5 linked regions of the Macaca fascicularis genome follow. The protein of the gene in region 4 binds, or shares a complex with, the protein of the main gene of each other region. Links are inferred from orthologs where the notes say so. Each region holds a gene or a part of one and is shown on either strand. Other genes may lie near its edges. The genes, in order: DEK, RSF1, MYBBP1A, SMARCA5 and SF3B1.

Region 1 (5,727 bases), on a different chromosome or scaffold from region 4:
GTGATAAAATGGAAGATATACATAATATGGCTACAATTGAAGTTCAATGGTTTTCTGAAGGAAAAGCATTTGTGTATCTGAGTTGTGAGCTAAACACGCTCCAAGCTCCTTTTTCATAGAACACCATATATATATATATATATTTTTTTTTTGAGACAGTCTCGCTCTGTCGCCCAGGCTGGAGTACAGTGGCATGATCTCGGCTCACTGCAAGTTCCACCTCCCAGAGAACACCACTTTTTAAAAGAACAAATATGGCTAACTCAGACTTAGGTACTTGATAAAGATCCTCAAAAATGAACAAGGTGAGCTTGTCACTTCAAGGAAAACTGACAGCATTTATCACCAATGATAAATGTTACGATTTCAAGTGGAAATTTAGAATTCTGGAAAATTCACATCTACTACTGCGAACTTAATAGTTTTCCAAGGCCTAAGTAACGTTTCTGATGAGATGGTGTTTATATTAATGAGCATGATTTAATGACAGTGTTCAATAAAACATGCCAACATTTGGAAGATATGATTCAGGGAACCAATATTTACAAATGGTAAATGCATGTTACAAAACTATATATATAAGACCCAAGTTAATTAACATGGTTTCAGACCTACATTAAACATTACAACTAACCTTTAGGAAACTACAACTTACGTAGTTTTCGTATTGTGTGGTATCAAAAAGAGAATACACACAATTATCTAAAAGGACTTTAAAAATATTCTTTTTATGTGAGGCTCGGTTTTCTTCATACACTTATTATATTTTGAGACAGGATTTCGTCCTGTCACCTAGGATGCAATGCAGTGGCATGAATATAGCTCACTGCAGCACTGACCTCCTGAGTTCGGGCTTCCACCTCAGCCTCCCAAGTGGCTGGGACTACAGGAGTGTGCCTCAGTGCCTGGCTAATTTCTTCGTGAGACAGTCTCACTCTGTCACCCAGGCTGGTCTTGAACTCCTGAGCTCAAGTGATCCACCTGCCTCGGCCTCCCAAAGGGCAGGGATTACAGGCATAAGCTACTCCATCAGGCCCTTCATAAATTTTAAGCAAAACAATATACTGCAAAAGACTGAATGTGGCTAGGCGCGGGAGCTCATGCCTCTAATCCCAGCACTTTGGGAGGCCGAGGTGGGCGGATCACCTGAGGTCAGGAGTTCAGCCTGACCAGCCTGGCCAACATGGCAAAACTCTATCTCTATTAAAAATACAAAAATTAGCCAGGTATGGTGGCACATGCCTATAATCCCAGCTACTGTAGAGACTGAGGCAGAAGAACTGCTTGAACCTGGGAGACAGAGGTTGCAGTGAGCAGAGATTGTGCCACTGTACTCTAGCCTGGGCAACAGAGTGAGAATCTGTCTCAAAACAACAATAAAAAAAGACTGAATACAGAAGCAAATGGTAATTAAGCTGTTTTCTCTTAAGCCAGATATTAAACGGATGTACAAAAACATAAAATAATGCCACTCTTTAATTCTTTTGAAAAGTTATTTTTCATAAAAAATACTATTTTTAACATTTTAAAATAAAAATTTTCAGTTCTAATGTCAAATACAGTGAAGATCAAAATAACCCATATTTTAAAAAAAGCTCTTGGGGTCCTCACTAATTTTTTAAGAGAGTAATAGTATTCTGAAACCAATAAATTGGAAAACCACTGAGAAAAAGATAAATATAAAAATATCCATCATAACAACTTAGTAACTGCTTCTGAGGAAATAGTGATCACCTTGCCTCACACTAAATCCTTAAAAAGTACAAGTATAGCTACAGTAAAAGTTAGGGAAAAAAAAGTATTTTGTCGTCTTTCAATAAGCCAATTTAAAACACCAAAAATCATCATACACCTTGTGTTTGTAGTTGTATAACCAAAGTTAACACCTTAAGTGCTCTCTATCTGTCCTCGTGCAGCTAATGGTAATAAGGACCAAGGGCAGACCAAAACAAAGTCCCAGAGCTATTTTCTGGTTTTGATTCTTTAATGCCCTCTCCCATCCGAGATGGCATTCCCCTGAACTCCTAGACCTGCTCGCTCTCTTCACACCTCCTTTCCTGTCAAGATCGGGAAGAATAGAAAAACATTTGCTGACAGACCTAAATCACACTAAAAATACAAGGTCATATAACACTTCAACAGACATTTTAAGTCACCTATGTTGTTTGTTACCATTAAATAATTAGGGCAAATCGACTAGCTTTTAGGAAGAGTGAGAAAACTATAAGGCCATTTTACTTCCCTCTCCGGCTCCTGGGCTCTGCTGCGGATTCTGGAAACCCAATACAGGAAACTTGTAAGAGCTTTTAAATGTCACTTTTAAATAATTCATTCCAGGATCCAGGAAAACATCCAGTTCTAATATACTCCCCATTTTGTCTTCACTTGATTATAGATTGCACCCCTTCCCTCCAGCCTTGCACCTCATCCTCAGCCCAACCTCTATTCATTCTTCCAGTATCTTCTAGATACCTAACCCTGACTACTAGTACTTTCTGTCCCTTCTGACATTAATTCACTATTCTTAACCTTATTCCCTTGTATCTGATTTTCTGAAGCAACACATCCCTATGGCATCTGTATTATTTCTATCAGGAAATTATTGCAGATACAACAACAGAAGTTATATTCTTTGAATGTAGATATTAATAAATACTGACAGCAATGCTGTTATTAATCAATTTTTGTTTCGTATAAAAAAGAGGCTATGAATAACTGATTTCTTATGAAAAAAGTAAAAATTGATCCTCACTTTGCCAGAGGGCTTTGGATGCATTAAGAAATTCAAGATCCTCTTCACTAGTTCACTATTTACACCTGATCTCTCCAAATCAAGAACCTCACAGATGCTCTTTAACATGGCATTTCTAAATCTGAAACAGAAAATGGAAGAAACCAAGGTGTTAATATAGGAAAGCTTACAAATGTTCTCCACAATATAAAGGGAAAGCCAACCAAATTAGCTGACTTACATACATTTTAAAAAGTGGCCAATGCTTCTCTGAATCTTTCTTTCTTTTGGAGACAGAGTTTCGCTCTTGTTGCCCAGGCTGGAGTGCAATGGCCCAATCTCGGCTCACCGCAGCCTCTGCCTCCCAGGTTCAAGCGATTCTCCTGCCTCAGCCTCCCAAGTAGCTGGGATTCCAGGCATGTGCCACCACGGCCAGCTAATTTTGTGTTTTTAGTAGAGACAGGGTTTCTCCATGTTGGTCAGGCTGGTCGCCAACTCCCGACCTCAGGTGATACACCCGCCTCAGCCTCCCAAAGTGCTGGGATTACAGGTGTGTGCCACTGTGCCTGGCCCAAATGTGATTTTTTTAACATTAAAAAATAAACTTAAAGCATATTGATTAAAATATAGTATTTATAAAAATAACTCACTTTTTCAACATTTCTTCCTTCTTTTTATACTGGACACTTCCTTTTTCAAACGGAAAGCCACTGAACTGACCCACATTCTTCTTTAATGAGGACACCTGAAAATGTTCCTTATTATTAACGCTATTTACTACCCAGTAATATACACAAGAATAAATTCAAAGAGAATTCAAAGCCAACATCTTTATTTTCATATCTATCTGTAACTTACAATACTGGCTCAACAGTCAACCAATTCAATACGGGTTCAACATTCAACATTTCTTGTTCAAAACTGAAAAATATGTTACTAACATAATAACATTATAAAAATCCTACAAACTTAAGTCTCTGAAAATAACGATTTGAACAAATTTTCACTGGGGAATTTTTACCACAATCAAAAGTTATCTGACAGTACCAGAGGATGTGGAAAATTACTACTTAAAAAGATATCCTTTTCATAAGTAATAAAGTTACTAGTAATTCTTCTTTTCCAAATCAAGGACTTTATAGTTAATACTGTTTACTAGTTATGGGACTTATGTAAATTAGATTGGTTTAAGGATTAAATGAGATTAACAGACGTGAAAATAAATTATGTCATGCATCAGACATTCTATTCTACTTCAGGCATTCTAACACCCAACTTTACTTTGCCCATGTACAACCTAAAGCAGTTTCCTCAATTATATAAAATACTAAGTTTTATGTACAGTATAATAATCCTTTAGCAAAAAACTATCATCCAATTTATCAGGTATTTGCTAAAAATGTGATACAATTATACCAAATCACTTATTCTGAATGACCAGAAAATCCAAAAACATGAATTTCTTTCAATACATTTAAAGGTCACTAAAACCATCATAATTTGGATTTCATAATTTGAAATTTCAGTTTGGAATAAATACTACTACAGGAGAAAGAGCCCTAGAGCTGGGCATACTGGCTCACACCTGTAATCCCAACACTTTGGGAGGCCAAGGTGGGAGGACTGCTTGAGCTCCAGAGTTCAAGACCAGCCTGGGCAACATGGCAAAACCCCACCTCTACAAAAAGTAAAATTAGCCAGACATGATATGGTGGCATACACCTGTGGTCCCAGCTACTTGGGAGGCTTAAGTGAGAGGAACACTTGAGCCCAGGAGGTTGAGGCTGCAGCGAGTCATGTATTGCACACTGCACTCCAGCCTGGGTGACAGAGTGAGACCATGTCTTAAAAAAAAAAAGAAAAAAAAGGGAGAGAGCCCTGGATATTATAATCCAACTGCTAATATTCAGCTATATTTCCTGTGATAAATCATTTAATAAATATATATCTCAGTCTGCTCAGTCATAAAGTGTGGAAATTGAACTAGTGGATCACTAACATTTACAGAAACTGATTCCATTGTGAAGTAATATACAAGTAGGTTTAAAGTGTAAAAAAGTCTTACAGTGCCTGGCCTGTTGTAAAGCAGTTTGTGTAGATTTCTAAGTTCATCGGTTTTCTTCTTACTTAGAAAAAAATGTATCCTCTCAATTTCACAAAGTTTCTGCCCCTTTCCTAGAAAAAAAAAAAAAAAAATCACAATTAAATACCCATGGCTTACTAATACATTTTACAAAGTTAATTTAATAGGAATTATTTTCACAGCATAATTTACATGTAACTTTGCTCTTACAAAGCAAATTAAATAAAATTATAACTAAAGTATAAAACACTACTCTGCTGATACTAAGCTACAAACCATCATTTTCACAAATTTAGACACTTTCACCACAAAATCAAAGAAAGCTAGAAGAAACTCACCTTGTGCAATTGTAAATGGCTCTCTCTGTAAGGAAGAGACTTGCATTGTCAGCCTCTCTACTTTCTTCTTTTCCCTCTTGCCTTCCACGATGAGACTCTTTTCTGGAAATTAATTTAGTATTTCTTAATTAACAAAAAGCTTAAACATTGTATTAACTTTATTAGATAAACATGTAGAACAAAGTCCCAAAACCTAACACTTTATTCTTCCTCTGGGCATGGTTTTGGAAAGCAAATAACATAAAAGATGACAACACTTGATTAGTTAATAGAGCACCACGAAAATTTTTTCAGACTAACATTTTACTCACCTGGCAAACTCACAGGGACTCAGTTAAAAAAAAAAAAAAATTAGAAAGCAAACTAATTTTTATCCAACTAAAATTATTGCCATTACAGTCCAGTCACTTCGTTTGTGAAATAAATCTAGCTCTGTTTAATCTTTGGACATAATTCTATTTAATAACTGTGATTCAGTTTGCTGTACTTCAGAAATAATCAAATTTAGAACTGAGAGATTATGAACTTCAAAAGACATACAGAGAATACTAATAATTTAGTCAACTGACAAAAGA
Region 2 (5,727 bases), on a different chromosome or scaffold from region 4:
ATAATCAATAATCAATCTGCATAATAATGTTTTATCAACTGTTTGGATTACATTCTTGGTAGATGACCTATAGTTAATTGATTTAATCAAAATATAAGGTGAGAAGGGGTACATTCACTATCAAGTTGACAAACATTTACTCAAGTTTGGTAAACATCAGGCAGCACAAGTGGTCTCCAAACCCATGTCAGTGGGACATTTGCTAAATGGAATACTCAGCCTTTGCGATGGTAAAAATTACCTTAGGCTTTCTATAGAAGAAGAGTAAAAATAACTCCTTATTTCACATTAGGCATCCTGTTAAAATTATCTACCCATTTAATACTACTTCTGATCACTGGCTTAACTGAGGAATAGAACTAATAGGTGGAAGGAGGAGCTGGTGTGTCCAGAGGTAGAGACAGGGCACATGGGAGAGTTTCCACACAATAGTGGCTTTACCCAGTTGCAGGACTAAAATGGTGGGGTAAGACTGGGTGGCAGGAAAGGGCACCTGTACATTCAAACCACTTACCTTGCACTGGTAGAAATCTTTATATTGCTGGCCTGTTTTAGATAGTTTAAAAGGTTAATTCTTAGCTGACTTGCAAATAAATAAAACAAACCTAGCTGGAAAGGAGACTGTAAGTGAATGCAGCTCCTTCCACAGTCCTGCTTTACCGTCTGTGAATGTAAGCCCTTCCTTCCCTTCCAGTGGAACACTGTCTCAAAATAAAAATCACAACTTACTTGGAACCACACGCTATTGGTGCATCCTATTTTTAGGCTGCTTTCATTATTTTATTTTTTTACAGATACATACACATTGCTAGAATCAAAGCAAAAATATTAATGGGCAGGTACTACAGAACTAAAGTGAAACAAAACAAAACAACAAACAACTGAAAAACAACAGCTATAAACTTTCAAGGCCAAAAGATAAGATTTAAGGGCAATACCTGTTGAAGAAGGAAAAGGAGTATAAAGTTCCTAGAGAGGTATTTATAATGCAAATCTAATGCCAGCTTTTTAGTAATAAAAAAGAGAAGTGCTTTACTATATACTGACTAGCACATAATATTTAATTTGGAAAGAAAAATTAATGACGTTCCTTGGGCCAGCAGCAGATATGGTGTGTCCATTGCCGGCAACAGACACAACACTGGAACAGAAAAACCCAAATCCCAGGGCAAAAGTATTCACAGAAGTAATGGTTGAAGGTTTCAGGATTTAACAGGCTAGGTTTAATCACAAGTGCTACACTCTGTACAATGTTATGGCTCTGCCTGAAGTTTTACAGCTATAACAGAAACTAAATAAGACAAAGTTCATATTTTAGTGTCAATTACATGTTAGGTATTTAGTTAGTTAAAAACCCTTTCTTTTTTTAAATAAAGGGCTTTTCTTTAAAGTGTTGAGATGTTTGAAATGGATGTCATGCCTATTAATTACATCGGCAGTTCTCATTCAACTCTATGTTGGTTGTATGACTATTAATGAATTTTAATAGAAGTCTAACGGCCAAAGGCCAAAACTACATTCAAACTCTGCTAATATATCCAGGCAGATAGGAAATTCCAACACACACACATACGCACACGCACACACACACATACGCACACATGCTAAAACTCAAACTAAAAACCTCCCAAAGGAACTGCTTTGTTTGTAGACTTCAATTTGAAGTAGATACTAAGGGCAAGAATAGACCAGTTAAAATTCACCTGAAAATCTCTTCCCAGTCTTCAAATGTGCTAAAATATCACTGTCAGCTTAGCATCTCTTCATGTATGTTATATATAGATGTATTTTTTTCAAAATGATATTTCAGATATTTAAACATCAAGTGGCCAGAAGACAAGAGTTATACTATTGGCAAAGTTTACGATCCACCCAGGCCTTAACAAAGACCACATCCATTTCGCTAATAACCCTCCATCAGACATAATATATTTGAGGCCACCTTATTACCACTGCATAAAGCTATTTAAAAAAATGTGTTGCTAGCACAGTCTGGTTGGCAAAGCTTCATTATACATTTTACTGTACAAATGCTTTTCAGATGATTTTATTTTTTTAAAACAAGAAACTCTGCTATAACAGAAATTTAGGTTAATTATGATGGTACTTTCACTGTCTCTTCTTTATTAAGTGTGGTTATCTCCAATAGTAAACAAGTTGATTTCACAAAGGCTGTTACTAAATGACTTATGTATGATGTTATCTACAATTCTCAAACTGTAACAGTACAGACTTGAACTTTTAAATTGTCTGTAAATCATCATCTATGCCATGAATGTTTAAATATAATATATATTTAATATGAAAAAGCTAAAGCACAAGTGCTTTCTCCCACCCCTAAATTCTGTTTTGGGCCCTCACAGATTCGGAATGCATTCTCATCCACCCTTTTTCACAAAGTCAGGAGAGCTCAGGAAATATAAAGTCAAAAATATACAAATCTTTGTTGTTATTATAATAAGATTTTTTTCCATGAATGAAATTACCAAGGACCATGAACCTGGAAAAAGAAAATCAAAAGGAATTTACAGCAATTATTTGTCTTCAAAGTTCAAAACTGGTCACTTCACAGAAAGACTTCAGGATTTGTTGAAATTTTTCTTCTAAAAAGTCATTCTGTAGTGGAGTTTTCTAGGAAAAATTAAACAGCTTTTAATAACTGGCCCGCTGGTGTGAGAGCTACCGTGGAATAAATTAGCACAAAAATGGAAAAAAAGTCTTATAACTGTTCACTGTTACAGACGTAATCAACAAGGTCAGTCACTCTCAAAAGCTCATCTTCCTCCTCTTCTGGTGCTCCTGCCTCCTGCCCACCACTTGTCCCATTGGAGGCGAGGCTTGCACTGGCTGTGCTGTTGTCCTTGGGGGTCTGAGACTTCTCAGTAGGCTTGCCAATCAAGTTCTCAATGGCTTTGCCAGGACTCTGTCCATTGGTTGAAGGTAAGTCCACTAAGCTATAGTCCAATGGGCTCCCCACTTTGCCTACATTTTCAAAGTCCTCTTCCTCATCACTTTCTATCCGGTAGGGCTTCTTGGTGCTCTCTTGTTCTGAGGGCAGGACCCTAGGCTGGCTGTCATGGGCAGGCTGATTTGCATCTCCATGAGCATTGTCACAACTCTCCTCCTCATCCGTCTCAATCCGGTGTAGCCGTTTGCGGGATGGTTTGCCTTCCTCTTCCTCCTCCTCCTCATCTGCTTCTGAATACTCATCTGTGCTTCGGCCCCGCTTTCGAACTGACCGCTTTGATTCTTTAGCTAGCTCGTCATCTTCAGAGTTCTTGGACAAATAGCTCTCTAGAATAAACAGCACATTTAAGCCATTGGCATGGGTAACCATAAACGAATTTAATTCTTCTTTTCCTCCCCATATTCACCACGTCCTGCTTTCAGAATTGCTTGTACATAAAAATGTCCTTTCAATAATTGGCCTGATTTCTCTCCTCAGCCCCATAACAGTGCCCAATATGATTCATGGTATACTTTATTTATGATTTTAGAGAATATTTTCTTTTTTTTTTTGAGACCAAGTCTCACACTGTCACCCAGGCTAGAGTACAATGGTGTGATCTTGGCTCACTGCAACCTCCACCTCCCGGGTTCAAGCCATTCTCCTGCCTCAGCCTCCCGAGTAGCTGGGATTACAGGTGCCTGCCACCACACCAGGCTAACTTTTTGTATTTTTAGTAGAGACGGGGTTTCACTATGTTAGCCAGGCTGGTCTCGAACTCCTGACTTTGTGATCCATCTGCCTTGGCTTCCCAAAGTACTGGGATTACAGGCGTGAGCCACCGCACCTGGTCTACTTTATTTTTTGAGACGGAGTCTCACTCTGTCTCCCAGGCTGGAGCATAGTGGCGCAAACTCGGCTGACTGCAACCTCTGCCTCCCAGGTTCCAGCAATTCTCCTGCCTCAGCCTCCCGAGGAGCTGTGATTACAGGCGTATGTGCTGCCACACCCAGCTAATTTCTTTACATTTTTAGTAGAGACGGGGTTTCACCATGTTGGCCAGACTGGTCTCGAACTCCTGGCCTCAAGTGATCTGCCCACCTTGGCCTCCCAAAGTGCTGGGATTACAGGTGTGAGCCACTGTGCCTGGCCAACAGCAAATTTCTTGGGGAAGATGTCTGATAATGCTTGAATTAAATGAAGATAGGTTAGTTACAAACTAAGAAACTCCTTCCCACTAGTACACAAATTAGGTTATCATGTCAACATGCTGATAAGGAAAGATTTAAACTGGACACCCAACTCTGTACCTCTTAAACACTGTGCCAATTCTCATCTTAGTTATCAGACACCCTTGGTAGTCTTAATTGTCTTCTCTTCTTTGTCTATACAGTTGGGCCTCCCTATCCATGAATTTAACCAACTGCAGATGGAAAATATTCAGGAAAAAAATAGATGGTAGTGTCTGAACTGAACATACATAGACTTTTTTCTTGTCATTCACTAAACAATACAGTATAACAATTATATAGCATTTACATTGTATCAGGTATTTTAAATATTCTAGAGATTAAAGTATATGGAGGATATGGGTAGGTTATATGCAAATATGACACCATTTTATATGAGGGACTTATAAATCCAAGGATTTTGGTATCTGCGGGGATCCTGAAACCAATCCCCAATGGATACTGAAGATGACTCTACTTCCATTTTAGAAGAGCTCACCTAGTCTCACAACTTGGCATGCCATCTATATGCTAACGGCTTTCATATTTATTTTAGGCAACCACTGAATTCCAGCCTAGTGTATCAAACTGCCTACTTGACATCTAGGCTTGGGTATCTCTAAGCAGGCATTTCAAATGACGTGTCTCAAACTGGGCTCCTAAATTTTCTCCTTAATCCTGCAGCACTGTGGTCTCTACCATCTTAGTTTTTCACAATTGCTCCTCCAATTTCTCAGTCATCCTTGATTATTTTCTTTCTCTCACCCAACCCAACAGTAAATCCTTTCGGTCTCACTTTAAAACATACCCCTAATGTGACTGCTTTTGCCTCTTTACTGCTACTGACCCAGTTCTACCCTCCATCATCTCTCACCTGGACTATTACAATAACTTCCCAATGGGTCTTCTAGCTTCTGCCCTGGCCCCCTTCAATCTATTCATAACACAGCTACCACAGCAAATTAAAACCTAAGTCAGATCACATCACTCCTTTGCTCAAAATGTGGGATGGTTTGCTTTCCTCTTCCTCTTCCTCCTCATCTGCTTCTCAATACTCATCTGTGCTTTGGCCCAAATGTTTCTCACCTCACACGAAATAAAAATCCAAAGTCCATACAATACCCTACTCTGTGTTACCTAATATGGTAAACACTAGTCACATGTGGTTATTTTAAATTTAAATTAGTTAAAATTAAATAAAAATTAAAATTCAGTTCCATGGTCACTCCAGCCGCATTTCAAGTGCTCAAGCCATATGAAGGCTAGTGGCTATTGTAACCATCAGCACATATATAATCACTGCAGAAAGTTAAACTGCATGGCACTATTTATCATCAGAGATTAGCACATCTTTTATATAAGAGGCAGGCCCTATACTCTCAGTCACAACAACTCAGCTTTTTGAGAAAGCAGGCAATAGACAATATGTAAACAAGCGGGCATGGTAGTCTTCCAATAAAAATTGTATTACAGGGTAGGGTGCAGTGGCTTACACCTGTAATCCTAACACTGTGGGGGGCCAAGGTGGGGGGTGGATCGCTTGAGGCCAGG
Region 3 (5,727 bases), on a different chromosome or scaffold from region 4:
CGGATTCCCAGGCCCCTGCGCCAGTCAGACTGCAGCGTCCTGCCCGTCCCCTGGAAATCCCGCGTGCTCACCGGTCCCAGGCCTGGCGCTGCTGCGCACTGAAGGGTGTCACGGTGGTCACGTTGTGGCTGTGATTCAACAGCAGGTCTGCGAACTGCACCAGGTGGTAGGTCCAGGGCTGCCCACCCCGAGTCTGGTCTGTGGCCTGCTTCAACTGCGTGCTGAGGGTCTGCAGCAGACTGGGCGAGGGGTGGGGCTTGGGGTCACCAGACCGGACTAGTGAATGTAGCCACCTCCCTCCGCCCTCCCCAGGGCTCAGTCTCCCACCTCTACAGGACCTACTAGAACTCCCGGGACCTCTGCCGTTGTTCCCAGCTTGGGGGACCCGGAGGCAGCAGGCGCTCTCAAGGCCTTCCCACCCTTGGGCCTCTCCTGGGCTGCCTGAGACTCACCTGAAGAAGGCACTGCTGGCCGCCTCTCGGGCCTGGCTTTCCAAAGGGAAGGAGAACGGCTGCTTTGTCTCGGGGATCTGGGATGTGGGCTTCTTTGTGACAAAGAACGCGTGGAACAAACAAAACCTGGGGAGGGCGGGAGAGCGGCCATCACCATTCACTGCCATTGGTTTTACAGGCTCCCCTCCTTGGATGGCACCACCGAGCGTACGAGGCCAGGAGGACGAGGGGGAGCCCTTCTGCTCTGGGCACAGTCCTCAGGGGTCTGACGGGCAAGGCTGGAGGTGGCTGGGCTGGGCTGGGCTAGGATGGGAAGGGGCCGTTTCTCTGGTCTGGATCCCCAGCTGAACGCGGCTTAACCCGAGCTGGAGAGAGAGAATCAGTGCCCCTCCCAAGAAACCAAGAGATGGGAGGCTGTGTGGTCATGGCCAAGTCACGTCACTGCTCCGGCAGACATGGGGCCAGTGCAGCCCCCTCTTGCAACCGTGAATGTTGAGGGTGATTCGAGCACCCGGCTCTGCACAGGCACAGCCGAGGCAGGTGTGGGCAGAGGCTTCCCTCACAGCTCCCACGTGCAAAAGCTGCCTGCAGGGCGCGCAGAGCACACCTGAACCTTTTAGGCCCCTGCAGCTGGGATGCCTCCTGGGCCCCTTCCCTTCACGGGTTCCTAAGGAATTCCCAAGTCCCCTTGCGCCTGTTCCCCACTGATGACTCAACCCAAAGGCTTCTGGCTCCAGGGGATGCAAACTAGGATGAGTTAAGGGGCCCCATTCCTTGGCCACACGCCCATGGGAAGCTGGGGCTCCAGCACATCTCGTACGTACCTGGCCACCTGTGCAGTCAAGGCCTCCTCCATCTCCAGGTGCAGGCTGTCCACAATGCTCACCAATCGAAAGATGATCCATTTCCTCAGCCGGAACACAGCTCGCTCAGGCCTAGCAGGGCAGGAGGTGAGGTCATGTGAGCCACTTAGAACTGGCAAAAACAGGCTGGGCCCAGTGGCTCACACCTGCAATCCCAGTACTTTGGGAGACCAAGGCAGGTGGATCACTTGAGGTCAGGAGTTCGAGACCAGCCTGGCCAATATGGTGAAACCTCACCTCCACTAAAAATAGAAAAATTAGCTGGGTGTGGTGGCGGGTGCCTGTAGTCCCAGCTACCGGAGAGGCTGTGGCAGAGAATCGCTTGATCACTTGAACCTGGGAGGCAGAAATTGCAGTGAGCTGAGATCACCTGCCACTGCATACCAGCTTGGGCCACACAGTGAGACTCTGTCTCAGAAGAACTGGCAAAAACAGGACATTCCTTTGCCTGATCTCAGGAAGCCAAGATCTCCCCATCCCAATCACCAGTGTGCGACCACACAAGCACACGGAAGCCTCACATGAGAGCTCAGGCTCTTCCCTTCTCTCCTCTCACGGTTTAGAGCCAGGACACTGTGGAGGGAGGGCTCGGGTTGCTGGGCTCTGCAGGCCTAGGAAGCTAACTCCTAAGTTAGGGGTCCTTCCCCAAGGTCCACTCACACGTGGAGCGACGCGTCCTGGGCTTTCTTCTGGTTGTTGGTGCTGAAGTCAACCAAGGAGTCCAGGTCTGGCTGGAGAAACATGTCCTGCAGCCAGGCCACATAGCCCCGCAGGGCCGGAGGGCTCAGGAACCGCACGACCCGCCAGAAAGTAGGCGCAACAGGGAGGCCTTGGTTGGTGACGGATGAGAAGGCCACTAGCACGGCCAGCTGCCGCTCAGGGTCATCCTGGCACCCCTCTAGGAAGGTGCCCACATAATCCTCCATCTCTGGGGCAAACTTGAACTGCTTTGGGAGCTGCAAGAAGTTAGGCATGGAGCTGAGCCCACCAGCCCAGGGGGCAGGCGGTCAATAACCCAACAATCCACCAGGCTTGCACCCGCTACGGGTTAAACCAAGGCCCGGAAACCTCGCGTCGTACACAGCTAGGCTGAGCCTGAACTTGCAACAGTTCCGTCACCCCAGTGCTTTTGTCTGGCATCAAGGCCTCTCTGGGTCTGACTGCCCCAGCTTCACCACCTCCGGCCCCAGAAGGCCCCTCTTTCTGCCTTGCTGGATGGGGATGGTCTGTTTTCTGGCTCCATGCAGGGCAGGGTGGTAGTTGAGGCGAGACTGACCTGGGTTCAAAGCCCATGCTGCTAATTCCTAGCTGTGTCATCTTCAGGACCAAAAACCACCACCTCCCATGCACTTCCTCAGCGCCAGGACCCACACCCCACGTTTTTGTGTGGCAGCTTAGCATTTTAGCAACCCTTTGCAGTCAGCCAATATTATCATTGTGTAGGTGAATAAAGGGAGACACAAAAACACCTAGAAAGAACGTCTCAGGGTCAGAGGCTCCCAGTGGGTAATGTCTGGCTTCACGGCCCAAGCTGTTTTCCTTTTAGATTTTTTAGAATTATGTCCCCAGAGTGTGGTGCCACGATCATGGCTCACTGATCCTCCCACCTCAGCCTCCTGAGTAACTGGGACTCCAGGTGTGCACCACCGTCCAACCCAAACTCTTAACCACTGCCTGATACTTCAAGTCTGCCCCCTCACCCAGAATGACAGCTCTCTGAAACTCGTTGCAAAGATAAAATGAGCTGGTGAGAACAGTAAACCCAGCAGCACTTACTGGGCATCAGGCTCACTGGTGCCCAAACACGGTCATGACGACTGTTCTCATCACTGCAGCATGGGTTGGAGCGGTGGAGGTCTGAACAGCCCACTGGCTATCCACGCCCATGAGGGGCCTGCTGGCAGAAGGGCCTGACCTTACAAAACCGTCAGAGGGAAGCCGAGCGCAGTGGCTCACGTCTGTAATCCCAGCACTTTGGGAGGCCAAGGCGGGTGGATCACCTAAGGTCAGGAGTTCAAGACCAGCCTGGCCAACATGGCAAAACCCCGTCTCTACTGCAAATACAAATATTAGCTGGGCGTGGTAGTGGGCACCTGTAATTCCAGCTACTCAGGAGGCTGAGTCAGGAGAATCGCTTGAACCTGGGGGGTGGAGGTTGCAGTGAGCCCAGATCACACCACTGTACTCCAGCCTGGCCAACAAGAGCGAAACTCCAACTCAAAAAATCAAATCTGTCCGAGGGGAAGGGGTTCAGGCAGCTCACTACCCAGACAGAGGGGACACCCGTGGCCAAGCCCCCGAGGTGCCCTGCTCCCCTTCTTGGCAGGGAGAGCTCCCTGTCTAGCCTTTCTGGCAGTGTCGAGCTGCACGGGCGTTACCCACCTTCGCAGTGCACACGTGCTCCCCATAATGGCGGATCACGTCTCCCCGCAACACCAGCTGCAGCTGCTCCTTGGTCAGCAGGGGCAGGGCTGCGCCCAGCAGGCGGAAACACAGGTAGCTAAGGGGGTGCGGGACAGAGCCTGATCAGAGCCCTTGGGACCCCTGGCGGGGACCTCAGGACTGGTGGCCCAGCCCCACTTCACAGACAGGGAAGGGGGCCGAGAGAGGACACGCCCCGCGAGCACCTGGCTGGCCAGAACTGCATCTTCAGCAACCCTTGTTCCACCACCTCCTTCCAGAACCGTGGGAACTTGTCTTCCTTGAGCGCTAGGCGGAGCAGGTCCAGAGCAATGGCGGGCAGCTTGCGGTCCTTCTTCACGGAGGCGGCGGCCATCTTCAGCACGTTCACCAGCCTGCGGAGAGCAAGGGACTGAGGGAACACTCGCCTCACGGGCAAGGGCCAGGGTGCCAAGAGCAGCCGGGACACCCCCAGGCCACATGGCAAACCTGGGCCTGGCCAGATGCAGTCCCACAGCCCCAGGGAGGGCAAATCCGCCCACCTCCGTCACACCTGGGAACATTCTCATCCGAGAATAGGTTCACGGATCCCACCAGCTTCTTGAGCTTGGAGGGCACCTTCTGCTGGGCCAGGAGGAAGAGCTCCAGCTGTTCGGGGGAGCTGAGTATTGCATTCAAGTCGGCTTTAAGGACCTCTGGCAGGATCTCCTGCAATGTAGCCACTGAGACCTAAGGATGGAGAGATAAAGAGATGGTGGCTTCCTCTGCGGGATGAGCCCGGTGGATCCTGCTCTACCTGCCAGGCTCCTGACACAGGGCCACCTGGTGAGGCACCAGAGTCATCAGAGGGTATTTGCTAACAAAACTCAAATTCCCAGGCAGCTGGGTTTTTGACAAGCATCCCACTGATGCTAACTGGCCCAGAGGTAGCTGCTTTTTTTGAGACAGAGTCTCGCTTTGCTGCCCAGGTTGAGTGCAGTGGTGTGATCTTGGCTTACTGCAACCTCTGCCTCCCAGGTTCAAGCAATTCTCTTGCTTCAGCTGGGATTAAAGGTGTGCACCATCACACTGAGCTAATTTTTGTACTTTTAGTAGAAACAGGGTTTCACCATGTTGGCCAGGCTGGTCTCGAACTCCTGACCTCAAGTGATCCACCCACCTTGGCCTCCCAAAGTTCTGGGATTATAGGCGTGGGCCACTGTGCCCAGTCAGAGCTACCCTTTTAATTATTCCTTTTTTTTTTTTTTTAGTATTTCAGAGGACTAGCTCATTTCACACACAAGGAGCCCTGGGTGGAGAGCTGGGATTCAAATTCAGGTCCTTCCGGCTCTGAGGTCAAGACTGCACAGTAAGCCCCGGCCTGGGACCTGCCAGCCCCTGCCTTTCTCTTCAGTGGCAAAAGGGCCTAGGTGCTACCTTCCCAAGTCGGGCAGTGGAGGCCCACGAGGGGCCAGCCTTGACTAGGATAACAAGGCAAACGTTTTATATATTTGTGACGCGCCAGGCACAGTTCTGGAGTTGCACTGCCCAATACAGTAGTCACAGCCACACGGGGCTGCTGAGCGCTTCAAAGGTGGCCAATCTGAACAGGGATGTGCCTAAGTGTAAAATACACACTGGATTCTGGAGACTACCTGACAAAAAGTGTGTAAGAGGCTGGGACCGGTGGCTCACGCCTGTAATGCCAGTACTTTGGGAGGCCGAGATGGGCGGATCACAAGGTCAGGAGATCGAGACCATCCTGGCTAACACGGTGAAACCCCATCTCTACTAAAAAACAAAAAAAATTAGCTGGGTGAGGTGGCAGGCGCCTGTAGTCCCAGCTACTCGGGAGGCTGAGGCAGGAGAATGGTGTGAACCCGGGAGGCGGAGCTTGCAGTGAGCTGAGATCGTGCCACTGCACTCCAGCCTGGGTGACAGAGCGAGACTCCGTCTCAAAAAAAAAAAAAAAAAAAAGCATGTAAGATACCTCAACGGTTTTTTATACCAATGCATACTGCAGTAATATTTTA
Region 4 (5,727 bases):
CTCTTTTTCCTCTAGCTCTTCATCATTAAGGGATTCAGCTTCATCAATTTTAAGCTGTTCTTCTTTTTGTGCCTGTGCTGCATTAGGCAGCTCAGGATTTCGAGGTACCTAAAAGATATTTTCCTATGCCATTAAATCAGTAAATTTTAAAGAGCATGTGATAAACCAACTAACTGACATTTCACAAGTTTCAATTCAACCAGGAGAGAAAATACACTGATACATTGCATTTATGACATTAAAAACAAACTAGATTAGTCATGAAGTCTTATTTTTTCTTTTTAAAGAATAACAGACCCAAGTTTACATATTTCACATATACAACTAGGTTAGGCTAAAGCAATTATTTTTCCCACTAGGTCCAAATTAAATATTTATAACTAATGTTTATACTTTCCGTAATTTCTGGATAGGAATGAACAGAAAGGTGGATAATTTCAATTACCTTGTACCCAATAGTTTTTCTGTAAAACAGAATTTCTTTTTCCAGTAACTCAAATAAACGTGGAGGAAAAAACTGGAAATCCTGAACGTTGGGTTGTTTTGGAGGTCGAGGAGCCTAAAGAAAAATAAAAATAAGTGTTATCCATAAAAAAGAAATTTTGTTTTAAATGTATTCTTAGTCCTCACTTCAGAAACCATGAGAGCCAATTCTGCAAGTAACTGAATGCATCTTTCAATAAAACTGAATTGATATCTTAATTTTAAATGCACAGATTCAAAATTAATTTTTTAAAAATGATAACTAAAAACAGAAGGGAGTACACTCCAAAGAAATACAGAATGTAGGCCAGAGGCGGTGGCTCACGCCTGTAATCCCAACACTTTGGGAGGCCAAGGCAGGCAGATCACGAGGTCAAAAGATCAAGACCATCCTGGCCAACATGGTAAAACCCCATAGCTACTAAAATTACAAAAATTAGCCAGGGGTGGTGGTGGGCGCCTGTAGTCCCAGCTACTCAAGAGGCTGAGGAAGGAGAATTGCTTGAACCCGGGAGGTGGAGGGTTGCAGTGAGTTGAGATTGCGCCACTGCACTCCTGGTAACAGAGCAAGACTCTGTCTCAAAAAAAAAAAGAAACACAAAATGTAATTATCAATCTTTTCCAAAGAATATAAGAAAAAAATTACATTTTCAAAACTTTTAGATATTTTTATGCTGTGTCAGTCAACTCACCTTGGGTGCTTTAGGTTCACTAACACGAAGAGCTTCCCTGAAATATGCATCAACAGCATAGTTGGCTTTTCTTTCTCGTTTAGGTGGTTCAATCCATTCTGTGAATGCAATCTAGAACATGGGAAACAACTCAGATCACCGACTTATTCCACAGTAACAAATCATCATCAAGAAGGATGTTTGTAAATGGAAAGATATTCACAAAATCCTAGGCTATAAGCTATGAGGGTGGGGAATATGATACTTTGCTCAATATTATGTATATAATTAACACATGAGACAGTGTCCAGTCAACAGTGTAAGCATTCAGTATTTCTTGCTTAAAGGAACAACTGTTAAATGAGGGAGAAACGCTACTGACTGTTTCGTATAAATCTAAACTAGGAGAAAAGTGTAGACACAAATTAGCCTAGAAAAAATTCTGAAGATATAGACCTAAATGTTAACACGAAAAACATTGGGTAGAATTATTTTTTTCTTATACTCTATCGGTATTTTTCAATTTATCTCTATATTACCAAGTATTACTTACGAAGTTAGGAAAATTTTCCGTTTATTACCAGCCACTTCTGCTGTTTAAAATAAAATGAATCAGGTTGCCATCCCACATTACTATTCATCTCATACAAGAATATATTTCACTGTAAACATACACCACAAACTTCATTACAAAAACTTTAAAAATATTTCAGAGCTTCCCAACTGAAAAACTGGCATTAAATTTTACATAATGATGAAAATATTCAGATGTGAATAAGCAAAAATGACTGCTGTTTTAAGCAAAATTACAAGACATTACAGTAACACTTAAAATTCCAGGTTTCCAGTAAAATAAAGCTTTCATGTAACCCAAACCTATTTCTAAATTACCTTTTGTTTTTCCCTATAGTCTTCTCCTTCGAAGTTATAAACACTCGACTCTGTATCCATTGTAAAGTTTCTAAGTGAGCTTTCGCCCATCTTGGAGAGCTTTTCATTCATCTCTGCAGTCTAGAGAACAAAACAATCAACTTCTTAGATTCACAACAAAGAAAGCATGAAACCTGCAGTCAAAATAAATTAACTTCAGGTACACAAAAGCTTTTTTGTTAGGGAAATAAAATTATTTATCAATGTAACAAATATTTCCTGTTTCTGGTCTAAAACATTCTATATTAAAAGCATTATTTAATCTACATCTCACCTTCTTTGCACCTCTTTCCAAAATACCATCAATATCTTCATCAGTGATCTCACTTTCCTTTGAAGCAAACACATGTGTTGCCCCATGTCTAATCATTTGAAGCATTTCATCTTTCCCAATTTTGTTCAGATTCTGATCCACAAGCCTCCCTGAAAAAAGATTGTGTTGTATAATGTTAACTGAACAGACTTTATTTTACTGGAAACTTGAAATTCTAAATGTAAGGTTTAATGCCTTATAATTCTGTCTCAAATGTCAATCATTTCTGTTTACTGTTTATTCACATCTGATAATTTTCATTTTTGCACTAAATTTAATGCCAAATTTTCAGTTGGTAAGCTACAAAACATTCCTAAAGCTGATATATTATATAATGAACCCTACTGTATACTGTGTCAATGAAATATCTTTTGTGAAAGCTGCATATGATGAAGTTTTCAAAAACCTACAAGTTTCAACAGATGGAAGCATTATGTATTACACAAGTTTCTGATGAGCAGAAAGGTGTTATTACTAATACTCCTCAAATCAGCTTTTTCTCCTTAGAAAAGTGAAAAATCCTTCCCACAGGCCAAACTTTACACAGAACTGAAATATGTAACATCAGTTTCTTTTTAAAGAAAACTTCCAGAAGAACTGGAACTCCTAAAAACTTATTTTATTTGTTTATTTCTTTGAGATGCAGTCTTGCTCTGTTGCTTAGGCTGGAGTGCAATGACAGGACCATAGTCACTGCAGCCTTCAACTCCCTGCTCAAGCCATCCTCCTATCTCAGCTTCCCAAGTAGCTAGGACTAAAGGCATGCACTACCACACCTGGTGAGAAAATGTATCTGGATCATCAAAGAAACTCATCATTAATAAATTACTAAAGATTTTCAGTTGGCAGGAATTTGGACAACCTTGTAATTTGTGTTTTCAAAAATACAGACATAAAAACAAAAACAAAAACCCAGAAAGACTTGTTTTCACCCACCTCAAGGGTCACTCACATACATCTAAACAAAGCTTTGATTTTTATACGCCAACCAACTTGTAATTAAGTGGAAAAAGATCCAAGTTTTCAACAACTTCTTTAAATACTTGTATCATGGTTTGGGGCCCATAACAGAATATACAACCAAACATCTGTGACTTTGAAAGTGAGGCAATATCCAGAAAGTACGTTTCTTTGGATTGGATGCTGCCATTGCTACCAAAATGGTCTCATGCTTATACAAGCTACTTCCAAGTTGGGCAGAGAGGGAACCTTCAGATGTAAAGTGCTTGTGTACTCTCATTTTCAATTATGTTCCTCAAATAAAAAACAGTAACACAGAGGTATGTACTTAAGGCTTGCTGTTTGACTAACATGTCTACAAATGGCACAAGAAAGCTATTAGCCTGAAGGTTTGCTCCAAAAATTGCCACAGTAAATATGAAGTAAAAAACCTCAAGATTTCTAAATTTATGAATCAATTAAGGTTTTTTAATCTTTAAAAAAAAAGTGTTTCAGACAGGCGTGGTGGCTCACACCTGTAATCCAGCACTTTGGGAGGCTGAGGTGGATCACCTGAGGTCAGGAGTTTGAGACCAGCCTGGCCAACAAAGTGAAACCCTGTCTCTACTAAAAATACAAAAAAATTAGCCAAGCACCACTGGTGGTGGGCATCTGTAAACCCAGCTACTCAGGAGGCTGAGGCAGGAGAATTGCTTGAACCCAGGAAGTGGAGGTTGCAGTGAGCCAAGATCGTGCCATTGCACTCCAGCCTGAGTAACAAGAGCAAAACTCCACCTCAAAAAAAAGTGTTTAATGGATGAAAATAACTGAGAACAAGAAGCACATGGCAGGTGTTTTTCAAAACACACAGATGTGTGAAGAAAAATAAAACATTAGCCATTTTATCACCCATGAGATAACCTCATGGGTTGGTAGCCTCGAGAAGCCCCCAAAGGCCTTCCTAATTAAATACTTAATAGTTAACAAAGTTCTTGGTCCCCTTGAGTCACTTCCCAGCTGTATGTACAATGAACAAGTAATTTAACCTCTCAAAAGCCTTTACCTCTGATGCTAACATCTCAAGTTGGCATGAAGACTAAAGGAGAAAATGAAATGTTCACACTGCCTGGCACAAAGTAAACACTTTATTAACGGAAACAATTTGTAAAAATAAGCAATAATTTATTGTCTTTAGGTATGCAATAGCATTAGGGATACCAAAGACATGAAAAATACTCTCTTACATGGAAATAAGAGACTGACAAAATCAAGACACCTACATAATCAGTAAACAATGTAACAATATGCCTTTCAGCTTTTTAGACAGATAGTAAATATATGCTCACAATGCAGTTACAAAGGAAACTAATGAACATTTGAAGTTATTAAGTTTCCCACCCCTTTTCTTGAATTTTATATTTCCCATCATCAACTTTACAGTAAGTTTCATGAAAACATAAACTATGTCATCCTTAAAAGTTGATCTGGAATGAGAACTTAAGTTTCCTTCAATCGATTCAAAATAAAATCCCACTCTCACCCCCTACTCCTACTTATACCTTGTTTACTTCATCTGCCCTCCCAACTAAATTGTAAACTCTTTTAAAGTAAGAATACTTGAATGTTCCATTTACCACTGAATTCTCAACACCAAGAACAGTGCCTAGCATCTGGTGGGTACTCAATAAGTTGCAGACAAGAAAAAAGAATAAAATCAGGCTCTTTGATTTTTATTTCTTCAGTATTCCCCACAGTAATCAAGAGTAATTAGTACATATAAATCATTAACCACCACACTGAATATCAGATATCTTATATACATTATCCCCTTTAATCCTTTAAAATCCTTAAGTGTATTTTTATCCCCACTTAACAGATGAGGAAATGGGTTCATGTAACGAGAGAGAACTGCTAACTGGCAGAGTCATTATTCAAAACTCAATTGTCCTGAGCCCAAATAAATCTTAAGGACAAAACTAAAGTTTACTGTATTTGCAATACAAGTAATCTCTACTGGCTGCAAGCTTGACTCAATGGATGCTTAGTAACAAGAATCTTCTAAGACGATGTTCAAACAAAAACAGGTTGTGTCAATCCAGCTTGGTAAAGTTTTAAAGTTCCATGGCTTACCTTGTTGAATGACTATTGAATCCAGTCTGAGTTTCATCTCAGCACGTTCTACTATTCTTTCTTCTACAGTGTTATCAGTTATAAAGCGGAACACCCTGACTGTCTTGGTCTGTCCAATTCTATGTGCTCGGTCCTAAATAAATTACCATGTTATTTTGAATTGAGTTTAAAAGTCACATAAATAACACTGAAATGGGTACATTGAGAAACAAAATTAAAATATTCTGAAGTATAAAACTTTTAAAAATTTGTAGTAACAAT
Region 5 (5,727 bases), on a different chromosome or scaffold from region 4:
TACATTCCAAAAATCAGAAGGTCAATGGTTAAATGAAGAGCTTTCTCAACTCCATTATTCAGACCATGCCTCAAAAGAGATTTCTACATGAAGTATTTTTCAACACCACAACGAATTTATTATAATTTTTTTTTTTAATGGAAGTAAGTGACACTCACCCAATGGCCTTTGCAATATAACCAAATGTGTTGACTGTGGCTCTACGAATAGCCTTTTTGTGGGCTTTTAAGAGCTCTAAAAGCTCAAAGCAAATCCTCATCCACTCTCTTGCAGACACATATTCAGCTCCCCTAATTTAAAAAATACACATATTATTTGTGACATTAGGAAAAGTTTTAAGGATAAATTTGCAAATTCAGTTCTAAAAACATGATTGTTAACTCATTTTAAGCATTAAATAAGAGTTATTCCTCTTCAGAAAGGCTGAAGAGTTAGTCTTACAGGTTTAGTCCTAAAATTACATGGCCTCCCCATTACCATCCAAATTGAAATTTGACTGAAAATATTAATACTAGACAGCCTAATCATATACACTTATATTAGTGACATTAAGAAAATTTTGCTAATTGAATACAAAGTGGCCAAATTTGAAAATTGATACTGCTTATAAAAATGTGTGGGTAATCTGCTTACCTGTCAGCAATACGCCCAACAAGATCAATACAATTCTCTTGTACTTTTTCATGTCTGTTCTTTAAGATGGGGGTGAGTCTAGGCAGCAGATCTTTAATTGGTGGAGTCATCTTATGCATACCTATTTAATAGAAGTCAATAAACTATCAACATCTGAATTGCAACTTTTGTTCACTTTCCTTTTACTTAGCAACGTTATATATGACTATGCATAAATATAAACTTACAGCTGCCTATGGAAAGAGAAAGCCGCGGATTCTGACCAGACTCAGAATCGTTTTTAACTTTTATTAACAATTTTTGATTATGTATAGAAATGAAAGAAATCAGTGAAGTGATTTAAAGAATGATGGATACTCAATAACAAAAAAGTTTTGTTTGGTTCTGAAATGTATTTGTGCACTGACATTTAAATATGGGGACAGCTTATGTTCCGGCCGTACACAACAATATAAGCCAGAGGTAAACAAGTAAATAAAGCAAAAATTTCCAGAAAGGGCCCCCTTACCCTTTAACTGCAAAACAAACAGATCTCCAGTCTCCCTGCAATGCAGGGCATACTTGGATGGTATTTACACCTATGAAGAGAGAAAAAAGGAGGCAGCTGGCAGGGGCTCTTGCTCTAACTAGAATCACTTGCTCTGATTCTCTCTCCATTGCTCTTCCCATGCCTCTCTGACAAACAATATGGTTTAAAACTCCCTGCAAACCAGAGACCTACAAGTGCCCATGTAAATGATTTTTGGCAAGTGGCTATCTTCAAGTAGAGCACTGGGCTGCATTGGAGATTATATGCAAATACAATAGTTTAAAAATGTATATTGCATAAATACCTCTTACAAAATAAGAAAAAACAGTGGCTCTCTCACAGTCAGCCATTTTGACTTCTGCTAGGTTATCAGAGCCTCTAAACTCTGCAGGAGTTACATTTGGCAACAGTTATAATCAATTTAAAAAAAAGATTAAATACAAGAAACCATTTGTTTTCTTTGTCATACTGCCCTAACAGAATAAAAACTTTGCTCTCCATATCCAAGACCATTTGTAATATAGCTGTGTTTTGGGTTAGAAAACTGAATGGACAGTATTGAAAACTTGAGTATGTAAATAAAGACAATAATTTGATCAGTTCACTTTTCTGATTATATTCCTTGAAACTGATGGCAAGTAAAAAACCTGTCATAATCACTAATTCAAGGTTTAAATATACACATATAGTTCTAAAACTGAATTAAAACTTTAGGTTTGCCTTTTCCCCCTCGCAGCAGAACATGGCAGAATATATTTCACCTGAAACACTATTTCTACTAGGGTCCTGTATTCCAAGACTTCAAAGCTTTTTGAGCTGTGACTACTCCCACCTCTCCTGTAGGTCCTAAACTTGCCCTTTTTTTCTCTTTAAAGTAAAATATAAATGGGTTTTGGGAAACAAAACTTTTGTGACATCCCCCGACTTAACTACAATATTGAAGTGCTTTTAAAAAAGTAACAAAAACCTCCCAAATCCTAAATAAGACTTTACTTACAAAAAAAAAAAAAAAAAAAGGAAAGAAAATTAAAACAAGAAAAAGTCTTATGTAACCAGCAGATTTCATACCTATGACATTTACAATGGCCTTCAGTGCTCCGAGAATGCTGCCCAATACTTCAGGGTACTCTTCACCCAAATACTCATACAACACAACACCCAAGTGTCCCATCAATTTTTCCTATAATAAAACAAAGAATGTTAAAATGTTACTATTTACATTAAACTATTTGGTGAAGAAATAATAATTTGAAAAAGAAGTTTACCTCTTGACAAGTCTTCATGACAACAGCAGTTCGAGAAATCAAGTCAGCTGCCTGCTGCCTAACTTTTGCAGATTTGTTATTTAAACGCCACAAAACAGTACCACAGATCTGAGGCAAGTATGGTTTGACTCGTTTGCCAAGAGCATTAACCACTGTGCCAAAGCCGTTCAACATTACTGAGTCCTAAAAAATAAATTTTAAAAAAAGACACATTCATTTGGTTTATGACTGCACAGTTGAAATATACTAATAGTCAACCTTTTCTAACCACCCAAACATCTGTGGTTGTTTTTTTACATCAAATCTTAAAACTTGAGGTAGAATAACATTTTTTGGTAACCGAGTGAGCATATTAAAAATTACTTCAAATTCAATTGCATTCTAGAAAAATTTGCTTGACAACTAATACGTTTTTCTACAAATATTAAAGTCAGTAGCAATGTGCCATAATTAGTTATCATTACCTCTGTAGTCTGTTCTTGGAAAGCATAAAGAATACCATCAATCAGTTGTTCTTCAAGTTTATGATCAATATCTGCTGCTCCCAAATTGCCCATAATTTTCTCAATTGTCTCCATCACCATTTTTCTGTACTGTTCAGCTTCATCTTTCAGATCATCCACAATCCTGGATATAATTTCTGCTGCACCTACTTTGTTTGCCAACTCCACAGTAGTATCAACTAACTAAAAAGAACAGAAAAAAAAACGTTTTAGACTGCTTTTCCAAGGACATAAAATATCATGAAAACCAAATACTCTAAATACACTATTTAGCTAATGAACATGATAAGAATGATTCACTGCTATTTATTAAAGTTGAAGAGAAAAGTGACCAAACATAGAAAAATGAGTGTAAGTTAACATGATTCAAGGTAAAACTGTGTCCATGTTTCATCTAGCCAGATAAAGCACTGAATTCACCACACAAAAACATCAATTCACAGTTGAGTATTAATCCTTGAATCCAAAATCAAAATGGAAGTTAACTGGCTGACTAAAATCCATCTCCTCACAGTTGAGTATTAATCCTTGAATCCAAAATCAAAATGGAAGTTAGCTGACTAAAATCCATCTCCTTTCATAATCAAGCACATATAAACTGTGAGATAATTAAGGTAAAAAATAATATGCATTCAAGTCGACTAAAGAATAAGTCAAAAGGATTTTTGAGAATATTCTTTTAAAATAAAAGCTTACCTGTCGGTAATTTCTTCTATCCAAAGCCATCCTGTGCTGCCAGAAGTGTTTAAAAAAGGGAGGAAGAATCTCTGTTTTAATGTAGTTTGCTTCTACACCATCTGTCCCACAACACTGTTTTACCACCTAAAAGGTTAAAAAATAGTAATAATAAATCAACTGACTTGAAATGAACAGACTACTCATTGCTGATTACGTAATTTTAAAAAATAAAATTTAAAAACAAATGAAACAGTACTGGTGTAACATACAGTTTTTTTGTTGTTTTTAAAAAACACTTTAAAATTATCTTAGAACCGGCCGGGCGCGGTGGCTCAAGCCTGTAATCCCAGCACTTTGGGAGGCCGAGGCGGGTGGATCACGAGGTCAGGAGATCGAGACCATCCTGGCTAACATGGTGAAACCCCGGTCTCTACTAAAAATACAAAAAGAAATTAGCCGGGCGTGGTGGCGGGCGCCTGTAGTCCCAGCTACTCCGGAGGCTGAGGCAGGAGAATGGCGTGAACCCGGGAGGCGGAGCTTGCAGTGAGCCGAGATCGCGCCACTGCACTCCAGTCTGGGCGACAGAGCGAGACTCCGTCTCAAAAAAAAAACAAAAAAAAAAAAAACAAAAAAAAATTATCTTAGAACCATGAAACAAATCCAGTTTACATTAACAAATCTGGAATAATTACCTTCAGCACAATCTTCTTCATTTCCTCATCAGGAGATTGGAATTCTCGAATAAGGATTAACATCACTTCTCTAGTATAGTAGTTGGCATATTCTGCATCCATAAGAGGAATAAGATACCCAATAGCCTTCAAGAAAGCAGCCAAACCCTATTTTTAAATAAAAATATATGTACTTTAGTAATTTAGATTTATGTCACCTTAACTTTAATGAAGATAAATCAAAAGGTAATTGGTGGATTTACCTTTCCTCTGTGTTGGCGGATACCCTTCCATAAAGGCTTTAACACAGAATCAAAAGATTCGATACCATAAGGAGTTGCTGCTTCAGCCAAGGCAGCAATGGCCAAAGCACTGATGGTCCGAACTTTCTGCTGCTCATCCACAAGACCTACAAAACCAAACACAGGTTTTAACTATGCCCCAACATTACCTAAGTCACACAATGTCATCCAGATTCTCACAATATATCAACTATTTAGCCAAACTACAGAATACGTTCACATTAAAATTAGGTAAAAGCAAAATATGAACCATAGCCTGTTAGCAGATAATATTACAAACCCATCATAAAATCTATAGTTTGTACAGTTATGCCTTTCCATTTATCTCCCCAAATCAGTAGCCCAAATTTTAGGACAGCTGTCTATTAAAAGTAGACAGGCTGTGTGTGTACTTCTAGTCCCAACTACTCAGAAGGCTGAGCAGGAGGATCACTTGAGCCCAAAAGTTTGAGTCCAGTCTGGGCAACATAGTAAGACCCTGTCTCTTAAAGAGAAAAAAAAAAAAAAGTTACATTACAACTTACCATGTTCAATGATTTCAACTAAACTTCTAAGATGTGGCAAGATGGCACAGCCCATAAGAATAGCTATCTGTTGTACAATCTTAATACCAGTGTGTCTCGCTTGCCAGGACTTCTTGCTTTTGCACACAGCTTTTAAGAAAGGCAATAAAGAAGGAATGCCCAGGGCAGAGGCTACAACAGCAAAAGCTCTAGCTGTTGTGTTACGGACATACTCATCCATGTTATCTATATCAGGTCTCATGGTAGAGATCATAGTAGCCAGACCAGCAGCCTAAAAAGTAAACAAAGAAAGGACAGTCATGAGTTGGTAATATTAATCTTCAACCATTTCCTTCCATAATCAAATAATTCCATAAACAGAAATAAATTGTCTTCTCTAGAAATTAAATGTAAATACCTTTGCCAAATTAGAAATGATCTCTCGGCCTTCCACTCTAGCATAGTAATCTTCATCAATCAATAGTGGTTCAATGACCACAAGGATCTGAAAAAGAGAAAAAAGAGAAGCAGCTACACTTTCACATCAATTACTGATGAAATACTCATGTACAGAATTAAACATATACAAGAAATTTAGATTTATCAGGATTTTCGTTAATCAAGGGACAAATTGTTTAAGAAT

Evidence for each region.
Region 1: SMARCA5 (region 4) and DEK share a complex: the UniProt entries of both Homo sapiens proteins name them as parts of the B-WICH complex. The link is inferred for Macaca fascicularis from reciprocal best matches to the Homo sapiens genes SMARCA5 and DEK.
Region 2: SMARCA5 (region 4) and RSF1 share a complex: the UniProt entries of both Homo sapiens proteins name them as parts of the RSF-5 ISWI chromatin-remodeling complex. The link is inferred for Macaca fascicularis from reciprocal best matches to the Homo sapiens genes SMARCA5 and RSF1.
Region 3: SMARCA5 (region 4) and MYBBP1A share a complex: the UniProt entries of both Homo sapiens proteins name them as parts of the B-WICH complex. The link is inferred for Macaca fascicularis from reciprocal best matches to the Homo sapiens genes SMARCA5 and MYBBP1A.
Region 5: SMARCA5 (region 4) and SF3B1 share a complex: the UniProt entries of both Homo sapiens proteins name them as parts of the B-WICH complex. The link is inferred for Macaca fascicularis from reciprocal best matches to the Homo sapiens genes SMARCA5 and SF3B1.

What each region holds. Positions count from the first base shown.
Region 1 is NC_088378.1:154,655,247-154,660,973, reverse strand, and holds part of DEK (protein DEK), read right to left. Parts: intron 5,255-5,727; coding exon 5,153-5,254; intron 4,907-5,152; coding exon 4,797-4,906; intron 3,477-4,796; coding exon 3,382-3,476; intron 2,874-3,381; coding exon 2,753-2,873; intron 1-2,752. UniProt on the Homo sapiens protein: Involved in chromatin organization.
Region 2 is NC_088388.1:76,563,084-76,568,810, forward strand, and holds part of RSF1 (remodeling and spacing factor 1), read right to left. Parts: intron 3,295-5,727; coding exon 2,720-3,294; 3' UTR 1-2,719. UniProt on the Homo sapiens protein: Regulatory subunit of the ATP-dependent RSF-1 and RSF-5 ISWI chromatin-remodeling complexes, which form ordered nucleosome arrays on chromatin and facilitate access to DNA during DNA-templated processes such as DNA replication, transcription, and repair.
Region 3 is NC_088390.1:4,637,307-4,643,033, forward strand, and holds part of MYBBP1A (myb-binding protein 1A), read right to left. Parts: intron 4,445-5,727; coding exon 4,269-4,444; exon of another isoform or gene 4,258-4,268; intron 4,111-4,257; coding exon 3,943-4,110; intron 3,816-3,942; coding exon 3,698-3,815; intron 2,272-3,697; coding exon 1,976-2,271; intron 1,388-1,975; coding exon 1,277-1,387; intron 579-1,276; coding exon 453-578; intron 240-452; coding exon 72-239; intron 1-71. UniProt on the Homo sapiens protein: May activate or repress transcription via interactions with sequence specific DNA-binding proteins. Repression may be mediated at least in part by histone deacetylase activity (HDAC activity).
Region 4 is NC_088379.1:148,651,118-148,656,844, reverse strand, and holds part of SMARCA5 (SWI/SNF-related matrix-associated actin-dependent regulator of chromatin subfamily A member 5), read right to left. Parts: intron 5,600-5,727; coding exon 5,467-5,599; intron 2,508-5,466; coding exon 2,359-2,507; intron 2,166-2,358; coding exon 2,046-2,165; intron 1,287-2,045; coding exon 1,176-1,286; intron 560-1,175; coding exon 446-559; intron 109-445; coding exon 1-108. UniProt on the Homo sapiens protein: ATPase that possesses intrinsic ATP-dependent nucleosome-remodeling activity.
Region 5 is NC_088386.1:93,009,484-93,015,210, forward strand, and holds part of SF3B1 (splicing factor 3B subunit 1), read right to left. Parts: intron 5,590-5,727; coding exon 5,503-5,589; intron 5,377-5,502; coding exon 5,106-5,376; intron 4,689-5,105; coding exon 4,543-4,688; intron 4,448-4,542; coding exon 4,301-4,447; intron 3,753-4,300; coding exon 3,627-3,752; intron 3,114-3,626; coding exon 2,892-3,113; intron 2,611-2,891; coding exon 2,428-2,610; intron 2,343-2,427; coding exon 2,231-2,342; intron 1,212-2,230; exon of another isoform or gene 1,142-1,211; intron 755-1,141; coding exon 634-754; intron 291-633; coding exon 159-290; intron 1-158. UniProt on the Homo sapiens protein: Component of the 17S U2 SnRNP complex of the spliceosome, a large ribonucleoprotein complex that removes introns from transcribed pre-mRNAs.